3 linked regions of the Cricetulus griseus genome follow. The protein of the gene in region 1 purifies or fractionates together with the protein of each later gene. This does not show direct contact. Links are inferred from orthologs where the notes say so. Each region holds a gene or a part of one and is shown on either strand. Other genes may lie near its edges.

Region 1 (3,500 bases):
GTCTTACTGTATCTTAGTTGAGTTTGAACCAAGTAAAACCCTCTTGATCACGTGGTAGCTAAGTAATAAGAATTTAAATGATGCTTTAGAGGAGTTGAAAACAAAAAACTGTAAAGGAGAGTCAGGATAGGGTTGTGGAAATCTTTCTGTCAGCTGACTTTGTGAAATACTTGTCACCTGCGCCTTAGCACTCTCAATTCATGGAGCTCTGCTGAGGGAGAGACCCCAGATTCTAGCTAGCTTTCTCCAATTAGCTTTGCAAAAATCTGCTTTTCAAATTTCTGTCTGTTCTTGAATGTAGTCCAGGAGAAATGGGAGGGTGCGTTAGCCTAACCAGCATTGACTTGAAGAAAAATTAGTAGAAATTACTTTGACACTTGGAACTGGCAGCCTGAGAATCAGGATTTGGAATTTGCTGTTTATCCATCCCTTGGGCCATTTCTTCCTAAAATCATTGTCCAAGTTGACAGCTATTCAGTTGCTGAGGGATGGCACTGTAGCCTTTTTAGTGGATATGAGAAATTTGGTAAATACAGTCAACAGTCTAGTCATTTCCTTCTGACCTAGCTCGCTGTCCACCTGAGTATCTTGACCATATATACAGACTGGAATTCCTAAAGCACAGAGAAATCAATGCTAAAGTCACAAGGCAGCCTTTAAGAGCATGTAAGCATGAGCATTAAGAACATGATAAATATAACAAGTGTTTGAATTAAGACGTTAATTGTAGTTAAGAACAATTCCATTTGTTCCTGTTTCGTCTATCACAGGAGCAGGACTGTCCCTGTGATGGATGCTGAGCTGGCTCCTCTAGGACAACAGGGCACCTGACATCTCACTTTTCCATTTCAGAATATGTCACCATAGTCATTCCTCCCGAATTGAACATTATTCTACAGGACTAACAGTGTATCCAAAACGAATTAGCTTTTCAAAAAACAAAATTCTTTTTCAAATGCCAGAGGTCTCTTCATCTCTCTTCTATGAAATTCTAACCCATATTATAACCCTGTCTGTCATGATCTGACTTGTCAAGACCATCATCAATCCAGGCTTATAGAAGATACAAAGTAAGGAGAGAGTTTGGATGTGCTTCTGGGGCCCCAGTTAGTTAAAGCATGGTGAAAGGGTACACACACACACACACACACACACACACACACACACACACACACACACACACACACACACACACCAAACAGGGGCAGGCAACCCAGAAAAGTGCCGCCTTGAGAGTTCTCAGAGAAGGGCTCTTGGGTGGATCTGCAAGGGGGCTGGGAAGAGGAAAGATGTGTCTTTGTGTCCTCTGAGGTTATACCTCTGTGACATGCTTTACTGCTCCTCACTGATAACTATCACTAGATAGGCTGTCAGAAGATGATGCTGAACAGAATGAGATTGCCTTCTGTTTACATTCATAATTGTCCATAGCACTCTAGGAAGTTTTTCTCATGCTAAATTTGCATGGCACGAAGGATACCTACCACCTTGGTGTACAGTGTATAATTCTGGGGAATTCATATATTTATATTCTGCAATCATCACCGCTGTCTGTCTCCAGAATGTTTTCATCATTCTACATGGAAAGTGTGTTCTCATGAGACATTGACTCCCTGTCCCACATCCCTTCATCCCTGTAACCACTATTCTTTCTGTCTCTGTGAAGCTAACTCTTGCAGGTACCTAATATTACGAGAGTTGTGCAGCATTTGTTCCTTCTTGCCTGGCTTGTTTCTATAATGTCTAAAGTTCATCAGGGCTGTCGCATGAATCAGACTGCATTAGCTCTAAAGTAATATTGAGTAATATTCCATTGTACATGCATATGGCATTCTACTTCTCTATTGATCTGTTGATTGACACAGGTGACTCTGTCTTCGATTATTGGGAATATGATGTGTTAACCTGGGTGTTGACAGAGAACCTGAATTTGGAATTTGCTGCTCATGCATATACACCCAGAAGAGAAATTGGAGGATCATATGATGTTCAGTTTTAATTTTGTATTATTTTATGTGCCTGAGTTTTTTTTTTCCTGCATGTATGTCTATGCAGTGCCCTCAGAAGCTAAAGACAGCTTTGGATCCCCTGGAACTGGAGCCACCATGGGCTTGCTGGGACTCAAACTCCCATCCTCTGGAAGAGTAACCAAGTGCTCTTACCCCCTGAGTCCTCTCTCCACCTCCCTTCCATTTTATTTTTTTGAGGAATGTGCTCAAGGAATTTTAAATATACTAATATGTTAACCAAAAGATTTATTCATTGATTACTTCATAGGTGTCATGTGATGTGTAGGCATCCGAAAAATGGAAATAGAACAAGGCTTCTCCTCTCCAGAAACTGCCAAGGACTCAGGACAAGGCCATAGTCAGCAATTGTATATGTGATTAGCACTTGCATGCTGTGTGCAGTTCTGCTGGGAGTATATGAAGAATACCCTGCAAGTATACCATAGCAGCAATGGTTCCCAGTGTTTCTGAAGCTGTCTCCTTGGATGTTGTCTGTGATGAATATTCCAGCAGATTCTGGCTAACGGACATTGATACCAGTGTCCAATCTGTGTTATAAACTAGGCTTTGTTAGTGCAGTGTATATATTGCTCTCTGTGACCTAAATTGTCCCCCTCATGAATTTTTTGTTTTGTTTTGTTTTCTTATAGTGGTTTTTAATTGCCAACCGATCTTACAAAGTCAGTGCGGCCAGCTCCTTTTTCTTCAGTGGTGTGTTTGTTGGCGTTATCTCCTTTGGTCAGCTTTCAGATCGCTTCGGGAGGAAAAAAGTCTACCTCACAGGTACTTTGTCACCATGTTCTTACACTGAATAAGAGGCTTTATGTCCCTAAGAGTCTTAAGGAAATAATAAGGGGTTATTTTCTTTCTTTTTTTTAAATGGAGTGTGCTGGATGTCTCTACAATTTTGTTCAAATGACTGCAGAACCTGGGGGTTATTTTCTTAAAGTTCTCTGAGTCCACAGGTAGACAGAGCTTCTGTTTATTACACTGGCAAGAGGCCACACTGCAGCTAGCCGAGACTCTGGCCGAGTGGTTTTCGGGAACGAGTTCACCCTGCTAAGGCCAGCTATTTCTGCTAAAAACATTTTTTTTTTCTGACAGTGCTTTCTACAACCCCCAAATTGTAATCACTGCCCTGCTTCTAGACAGAGCAGTAGAAGATTGCTACAGCCTTCCCATCCTTTCTCTGTGTCTCTCTGTGTTGATTTATTTCAAATGAACTCTATAGGACTTGGCGTAGCTGTCTTGACAGGCTGAGTATGAGTGAGGATTTTCAATTTCTAGCATTATTATGAATAACTGAAAATGGTGTGTGATTGACAGAAATTGTAAAACAAAGAAAGCAAGCCTTGGGTCTTTTTTTTCTTTTTGTGGTTTTCAGGGCAAATTATTAGAAAAAAATGCAAGCCATAGCTCAGGACATTTAAGTTTACAAAGGTTTATTTCACAAACTGATGAATATAATTTATTATTTTCTTCAAATGCTGC
Region 2 (3,979 bases), on another chromosome or scaffold:
ACTGAAAAAGTCTTAAGCAGCTGTGGTACCCTCAGGGGTGGGGACGACCCATTCCAACCCTGGCGTCCTGGGGAGTCTAGGGTGCTTCTTGTCGCCTGGAGCTTCCTTAGAGATTTAAATGCAGGCAGCACCACAGGGCGCAGCAAAGGTTTATTTATCTGTGCATGTTTTACAGCGCATCCATTTGTTGTGTTTGCTCCTCCTGCCAGCCTCTCTGCTGCCTGGCCTGCTTCTCCTCGCGCACAGGCTCTGTCTCCTCAGGGGAGGCGGCCGGCACGCTGGGGGCCCGCCCGCTCGCCCGCTCGCCCCTGCCCGCGGGCTCCCGTTTGCTTTGGGGCGGGGTGCGCGTTTCTAGGTCCGGCTCTGCTCGGTTGCGGGTAGACGAGGGAGGGAGGAGGCCGGCTTGGAACCCCGGGAGGCCCGAGATGGAGGGCCCCGCCGCCTTCCCACCGGGACGCGGGCCCGCGGAACCCTTCTCCTCCTCTCCCAGGGCCGACGAGACGCCCCGGGGCCAGCCCGAAGCCAGCGACCCCGCCCGCCCGCAACGGACCGGACCGCCGCCTCCTTCCCCGCTCCCAGCAGCCCCCGCGCGCAGGCCCCGCCCTCCCGCCGCCCGGAGCATGCCGGGAGCCGAGGGCCGCGGCGCCTTCCTGACGGCCTCTCGTTCGGAATTCCGCTCGGAACGCCGTGAGGCCCCCGCGTCGTGGGCGCGCCAGCTCGGCACTCCGCGCTCGCAGCTCCCGGGCACCGGGAACGACGCTTCTCGGCCGGGCGCCCCGCCCGCCCCGCCCCGCCCCGCCCCGCCCCGCCACGACTGACAGCCGCACGGCGCCGGGAGCCGCAGCCCGGGCCGGGCCCGCGCAGGCGCATTAGCCCCGCCTCGTCCCGGTCAGGCCCGGAGGGCGGGCCGGCGCGCGGCTCCGGGCCGCGGCGGCGCGCACGTCGGCGCGTCCAGCCCGTCACGTGTGGGGAGCCGAGGCCGGCAGTGCGCGCGCGCGGCCGCGGCGGCTGGTGTGGGGTTGAGTCGGTTGTGACACCCGGAGCTGCTGGCGCGACAGGCGGCCCTCGGAACCCGCGGCCCCGGCGGCAGCAGGCGCGGAGCTTCGGCAGTCCCGTCGTGAGCCTGGCCCCGTCCTAGGGCCCCGCCGGCGCCGCCCGCCGCTCGCCGCCCGCCGCCCCCGCCCGCCGCCGCCAGCGAACCGCCGCCGCCGCCGCCGCCGCCGCGGGCGCGCGCGCCGCCGCTCTGCGCTGTCTCCGATGGCGTCCGCCTCCGGGGCCATGGCGAAGCACGAGCAGATCCTGATCCTCGAGCCGCCCTCCGACCTCAAATTCAAAGGTGAGCCGGCTGGGACGCGCCCGAGCGGGGCCCGGGCCGGGGCCGGGCGGGGGCCGGGGTCGGCGGGCGGGCGGGCGAGCGTCTGGGCGAGGGAGCGAGCGAGCGGGCGGGGCGGCGGCGGCGAGGCCGGGTCGGTCGGGCCGCGCTCCCCTCCCCCACGCCCGCGCCTAGCGTCGGCCCCGCTGCGTCCTCGGCCGGCGCCTCGCTCTCCGCCGCCGCCCGCCCGCTCGCTCGCTCGGGCTGCGGAGGGAGGGGAGGGAGCCAGGGCGCTGCGGAGGGCTCAGCCCGGCGCCGCCGCGCGCCGTCGCCATCTTGCAGCCCGCGGGGCGCCGCGGGGAACCCGCCCGCGCCTTGCTCGCCCACCACCCGCCGCCGCGCCGGCGTCCCTTGCCCCCGGGCGTTGCGGGCGGCGGCGGGAGCTGCAGCTTCGCTCGGCGTCTGCGGGCGGCCGTCGGTGGCCACGGGCGAGGCGCGCAGGGCCGGGCGGGGCGGGCGCGGGCCTGGCCCCGGGTCTCCCGGGTCAGGTGCGGGGCTCGGGGGCGCCCCAGGCCCCCAGCGCTGTCGGGCTGGGACTGACCCCGGGCGCTGGCAGGGCCCCAAGCGCGCGGCGGGAGGCTGCGTGTGCGTCAGCTCGGGGTTTGCAGCGCTCTAGGTCGCGGGTAGCGGGTCCCCGGTGTCACCCGGGCTCCCAGCCCCGGGGTGCGGGGAGGGCGGGGGAGCACGCCGTCTTTTTTTTTTTTTTGCCGAGGGGTTCGTTCTCGGTGTCGGCGACTCGAGCGTTTGCGGTTTCCCAGCATACCCCGAGAAAGCTGATAAGGTGCCACGCCGCGCCGGGGCTGCTGACGGTGGAGCACGGACGGTTCAGATCCAGGGCCCTGGGCGTCTCCGTGTGTGTGTGGGTTTGTGGGCTACGTAGCGGGGAGAGAAGCTTGAACCGTACAGCGTACTAATTTTTAAGGTTTCCTGATAGGATGTGGAGCTAAAAGGACCTGCTCCTCCCTCTCTTTAGCTAATACCTGGGGTTTTAATTTTAGGAACTGTGATGAGAACGATTTCCCTTGGGTTGTTGCATGGCAGTTCTAGTATTAAAAGAAACAGTGAGTCCATGATTGTGTAAGATTGAGTCCGAATGAAAATAGCTGGATTGTCCCCGTGGGAACCATTTTTAAATTATATTTTAAATAGTTTAGGACTTACAAAGATTTTGATGTTTTGCTAGCAGTACTTCCTACACTGCAGGTGTTCGGTGCATTTACAGGTTTCTCTGAATGGAGACTTACAGGATTCCTCATTTGACAAGAGCTTGATTTTTTAAGGCAGGGCTAATTAATACCTTTGAAACTAGGGGTGGTCAACCACGCTTCTAATCCCGGCGTTTTGGAGGCCAGCCAGGAACCATGGAACGTTTGAAACAAGACTGGGTTACATAGACACTAGACAGTGCCTCAGAACCTCAGATACTTTGCGTACATTTTGCTGCAGCAAATTTCTGTTGCCTGATTTTTGGAAGGGGGTTGGGTGGGGGTATGCAGAGAAGTCCTTCAAGTGTTTGTACTAAAGTAGTCATCATTAGTTGAAGCGATTTAATGTAAATCTTCATGATGCTGTAGTTTGCTTTCCCCTTTGACAGTTCACGAGGAAATTTTCTGAACTGCATAGCCTGTGTGAAAAGCATTTTAGGAGGCAGGTTTTAAAAACCAGAAGAAATAGTGCATTGTGCTTTATCCACTCGTTTCTTTCTGACGTTAAATAATTCCAACAGGCTATTGTGTTATCAAAATAACAATCCAAGACTAGTGAGGGAGACCAAAAAGATGATATAAATGGTGTTTGAGGAAAGCAGCTTTTCTCCGAAGGAATGAATCTTTTAAGGGAAAAGGTTCTTGTGAAGCGGCCGGGGGCTGGGGAGAGTTATGCAAAGGGAGGGGTAAATACTGAGGAGAGGAGACTTCAGACTTAAAGTGCAGGTCCTTGTAAAGGTGGGCCAAGCAGAGACGATAGGGAGAGGGCGAAGTAGGAGTGTGACATTTGGGGTTTGGCGCTTTCCTCCTTAACGTTACTTTGTCAGTCACAGATTACTCTGTACAATGGAGACGTCTGTCTTTAAATGCACAGCTCTACACTAGTAGGGTGATTTAGGATCCAAGTGTGCATCCTTTGGTGACTATATCAGAAATTATTTAACTGATTTTTTTTTTTCATTTAGTGTAGGTTGTTTACGCTTTTTCCTTTGCAAAATTCTTTGATTATTTGGTAGGTTTATTTGAATTATTTGGATTCAACATTTATGTTGTGATGGTACCTTCAGGAGTGACTCATTCAACCATTCTGAGATTGACAGTTCTCCTTTAACATGAGTAATGACTTGATAAGAGTTATTACTATTCACGATTTTGGAAAAGCAGGTATATTTTTTTGTGTGTATCTCCATCTTAGTAAAATTTTAACTAGCAAAATGTAGAAAACCTTTTATGGTTGTAGAATGAATTCTGAAGCATACCTTTTAGTGCTTTTGTGCATAAAAAGATCGTAAAACATTTTTTTTGACCCTACCAGCAATTTGACTAGTAATTTAGATTTGAAATTAGATGTTTCATGGAAAAAGCTTTTTTGTCCTTAAAGTTTAATGTATTACAAAATTTG
Region 3 (4,043 bases), on another chromosome or scaffold:
GCTAGACTTTCATGGCATCAGTACGCGTGTTAAGAATTTAAATAAGCATGGGAGCAATAGCAGCAGACCATGCAAGGAAAGACCAGACTGAGGTGAAAACAACCCTGAAGAAGCAAGGCATGAGAGACAAAAAGAAAATAGTAAACCAAACAGAAGAAACAATGTAAGCTAGTAAAATAGATCCAGGTACACCAGCAAATATAATAAGTATAAATGGATTAGATACACAAGCTAAAAGACAGAGACTACCCCTAAAAACCTTTATGATGAAAGCAAGTCCAAGTACACGCAAAGTGGGAAATGCCTGAGAGACACAGACATTATCCCTGCCATACATATGTGGTCGACCATGGTGAACAACTGGCCGTGTTTACTTCATATATGTCTGTCTGATGAGGAGGCTATTAAGATCTATTTCACATAGTATACGTTACACAATGAGATATTAGTCACACGCTAGTAAGAGGATAGAACGCCTATTTTGGGTACTAGACAGACCTAGGCTCCCAGATCCTTTCCATCATGTGATTTATTTAATCATGTGAATTATGTGTAACCAATTCATTCTCTCCACAAGGTCCCAGTAAAGGTCTGAGGCGGGTCGTTTTCTGGTGATTGTGTTTCTAAATATTTCTTGCATAAACGAATAATGGTATCTATTAGCGAACGGTTCAGTGCAGTGCTTTGCGGTTTGGTAAACACAGAATGCAGAATAGCTTTTATTTATGACAGTTACTGAAAGCATTCAGCAGAGTGGCACGAAATAAGCAAACAATAATTGCCTGTTTATTATATTTATAATTGTTATTTATGAACTGTCACGAGGCCTAGCACATATCAGTAACCCATAAACATCGTGTTTGTAACAATAATAAGTACTTTATTATATTCAGGCTCAGCAGAGCTTGGCACCACACGTGCGGGAAGAAAGTGGAAGTTTATTCTTGTTAATTATTATTATTAAGTAAAGCACTTAACAGTTCTCCCCGCAGGCGCTAACTAAACTGTCTAGCCACAGACTGCCCTTCCTCCCAAGCAGCGCGAGACCACGCCCCCTGCGGTGGAAGCTCCGCCCCCGCCGGCCCGGCCGTGCCTGCGCAGTGGCCCAGAAAACTCCGCGCACGCGCAGTCTCCCTTTCGCCGCCGGAGCCTCCGGCCAGTGCCGGAGCCGGGCCGCTGCTGCGTGCGTGCCTACGTGCGTGCGTGCGTCGGGGCGTGCGTGCCTACGTGTGTGCGTGCCGTAAGCTCGCCGGGCACCGCGGCCTCGCCCTCCGCCCCTGCGCCCCGCCGCCCAGGCCGCCGCCCCCGCCCGCGCCGCCGCCCCCGACGGGGAGGACCATGGCGAAGGTGGAGCAGGTCCTGAGCCTCGAGCCACAGCACGAGCTCAAGTTCCGAGGTAAGCGGGCGGCCGGCCCGGGAGCTGTCACTCAGCGCCCGGCGCCGGAAGGGACGCGCCCTGAGGGCAGGACGCTGTCCGCCTGAGGCCCGCGTGCACCAGGCGCCTAATGCATGCATGTGGAGCCAGTGCATGGAATCTGCCCGAGTCCCCTGCTCGCCAGCCCCTCCCCCCACGAGGCAGCCAGCTACAGCCCAGGAGTCCCATGCACACTTTCTGTGGAGTCCACACACTTGGTGTATACGTTTGTGTGTGTGCAAAGGTGCACTGTATACATGCAAGCATGCACACGTGAATTAGAAGGTGCACGTTACACAAATATGTGTGCACAGTTTATGCATTGTTGCACTGTGTTCACATACATTCTACGCACACGTCCGCACACACGTATTTATGTGTGCGTGCGCGTGTGTGTATGTAGGTATGTATGTATGTATGTATGTATGCCTCCCTTCACCAAATGTAAGGGCCGCGAGGCAACGAAGACCATGTCCATCTGGATCCTTCCGTCGTGGCATGTTTTGGGCACTGGAGTCCTATAGAGCTCATCAGACTAGTATGCAAGATGATGGCAGGCTTTGGTAAGCGCTAGGAAGGAAAGGATGAAGCTAGACTCTGTGGAGGTAGACTTGAGGTTGGCTGGTGTGATCACCCCAATATCACCTACGTGTAGCCCACAGCGGGTGATCACAATTTGGGGTGTTGAGAGTCACCCGTTTCTCTGCCTTTGGGAAGTAGTGTGGGATCGCGGCTCTTACCCAGTTGGCACATACAGACATTGGAATTCTGGTCTCAGAAGTTTCACACACTTAGCCATTGTAACTACAGACTCTTGGGAAACATCTCAGCTGCAGCTGCTCACCTGGCCTCCCAGGTTCAGAATGCGTAATGACTTCGGTACACACGGAAGCAAAGGCTGTCCAGTTAAGTCAAAAACAACTTCAGGAAGCCTAATGCTGGGTTGTAGAGATGACTCAGCAGGCACAGCCCCGCTTGTTACCGAGACTGACTACTTGAGTTCAGGCTCTGAGGCCCACGTAATCAAAGGAGAGAACCAACTTGTGAAAGTTGTCCCCTCACCGCCCCATGCCCAGCACACTCACGTACAAACGCACAGACAACATGCACAAAAATTTTTAAATAAAAATTTCCACTTAATGTGGATCCCAGTTTTGGGAAGTCACCCACGTATCAGGGTTCCACCGGATGGTGGTGAGAGGGTGATGACGTTTGGTAGCAGCTATGATCTTTCATCCTGGCCTATCTACCAGGGCACCACCCATCTCTGTGGCATGTGTGTGTGTGCATGCCTCTAAGCTCTTCAGCATGTGTTTTTGTTTAACTTATTTTGCATTTATTTATTCTATGTTGGGGGTCTATGGGCCACAGTGAATGTGTAGCGGTCAGAATAACAGAGTCATTTCTGGGCCTGCTGGGCCATCTTGCTGGCCCAGTCTCTTAGATGAGATCTCATGTAGTTCATGTTGACCTCAGCCTCGAGATGATCCTTCTACTTCCTAAGTGCTGGGATTACAGACTCAATAAATATTTGACTAGCAGATTATGATAAAACAAGCTTTGTGCTAGATGGTTCCATGCACCTCTGGGATAATGGAAGTCTGGACACGTTGAGGTCAACTGTGATGTTCAGAAAGGTGAAATAGATTGAATGTGTTTTTTACTTAAGCGTGTTTTCAACTTAGGGGATGTCAGGATCTAACTTCATTGAGAGACATGTTTGTTTGACTTTCTGTCATGGTCTCTGGTTTCTTTGGAGGAGGAGACTGGAAGCCAAATAGCCAAAGTGAATGTGGTAAGTCAGTGGCTTCTCTGGGGTTGTCTGGAGTTCTTCATCCAGGTGCCCAGCTCTGCCTCACCTGTGACTTGACACATTGGTCCACATTCATATGTTGGAACCCAGGAAAATTCAAGCCCAGTTGATTGTGCTCCCCTGCTCTTCCTTGGCATGCACCCATCTGTTACATCCAGGGTAAGAAGGGGCAGATGAGATGGTCCAGACTGGAGAGAGTGGTGGGACAAAGCAGCCCAGAGCATGGGGACTGTCACAAAGGTCCAGTGTGGGCGGGATTGTTTTGGGCATGGCCAGTGGTGAGCATAGGGGTCCAAAAGCTGGGCTGTGTGCTCTTTCGGGGTGCATGGGTAGGAGATGTGGTGCAGAGTAGAAGGCCAGGGTGCCTCGTCCACAAGAGTCAGGCTTGCACACTCACCCTGTTAAGACCCTGTGATGACTTGTTGGTCCTTCCTTGGATTGAGCCCTGAAGCCCCAAGCTCCCCCATCACTGTCCTCTGGTGTGTGGACCAAGGAAACATCCATGTTCTGTGTCTTTCAGTTAAGTGTTAAGTGTGTGTGACCTTGGGCTGCTGCCTTGTTCTCTAACCCTTGAATTGATGGCAGTGCTAAGTAGGTGACACCTCTTCAGCCAACATCACTGGTTGCCAGGGAGATGGTCCAGAAGTTTGGTGTACAAATGTCCTCACTCTAGAAGAGGTGTCCCGGGATGTGTGGGGTTCTGACAGGCCTTGTGAGTGCCAGCCGTGCGTGGTTAGCACAGAGCCCTCATCCCCTGGAGATGAAGAAGCCGTTTTTTTGTTTGTTTGTTTGTTTGTTTTGTTTTCCCCCTGAGAC

Evidence for each region. Proteins that work in one complex are often made in the same cells at the same time.
Region 2: the proteins of Slc22a15 (region 1) and Vapa purify together in Homo sapiens (co-immunoprecipitation; 3 studies listed by BioGRID and IntAct, with this or other methods). This does not show direct contact. The link is inferred for Cricetulus griseus from reciprocal best matches to the Homo sapiens genes SLC22A15 and VAPA.
Region 3: the proteins of Slc22a15 (region 1) and Vapb purify together in Homo sapiens (co-immunoprecipitation; 3 studies listed by BioGRID and IntAct, with this or other methods). This does not show direct contact. The link is inferred for Cricetulus griseus from reciprocal best matches to the Homo sapiens genes SLC22A15 and VAPB.

The regions. Positions count from the first base shown.
Region 1 is NW_023276806.1:55,080,031-55,083,530, forward strand, and holds part of Slc22a15 (solute carrier family 22 member 15), read left to right. Parts: intron 1-2,659; coding exon 2,660-2,792; intron 2,793-3,500. UniProt on the Homo sapiens protein: Organic zwitterion/cation transporter with apparent specificity for amino acids and their derivatives. Has low affinity for its substrates and may regulate their flux across the plasma membrane at high substrate concentrations.
Region 2 is NC_048595.1:454,567,821-454,571,799, reverse strand, and holds the start of Vapa (vesicle-associated membrane protein-associated protein A), read left to right. Parts: upstream 1-1,179; 5' UTR 1,180-1,257; coding exon 1,258-1,336; intron 1,337-3,979. UniProt on the Homo sapiens protein: Endoplasmic reticulum (ER)-anchored protein that mediates the formation of contact sites between the ER and endosomes via interaction with FFAT motif-containing proteins such as STARD3 or WDR44.
Region 3 is NC_048599.1:5,261,699-5,265,741, reverse strand, and holds the start of Vapb (vesicle-associated membrane protein-associated protein B/C), read left to right. Parts: upstream 1-1,243; 5' UTR 1,244-1,338; coding exon 1,339-1,396; intron 1,397-4,043. UniProt on the Homo sapiens protein: Endoplasmic reticulum (ER)-anchored protein that mediates the formation of contact sites between the ER and endosomes via interaction with FFAT motif-containing proteins such as STARD3 or WDR44.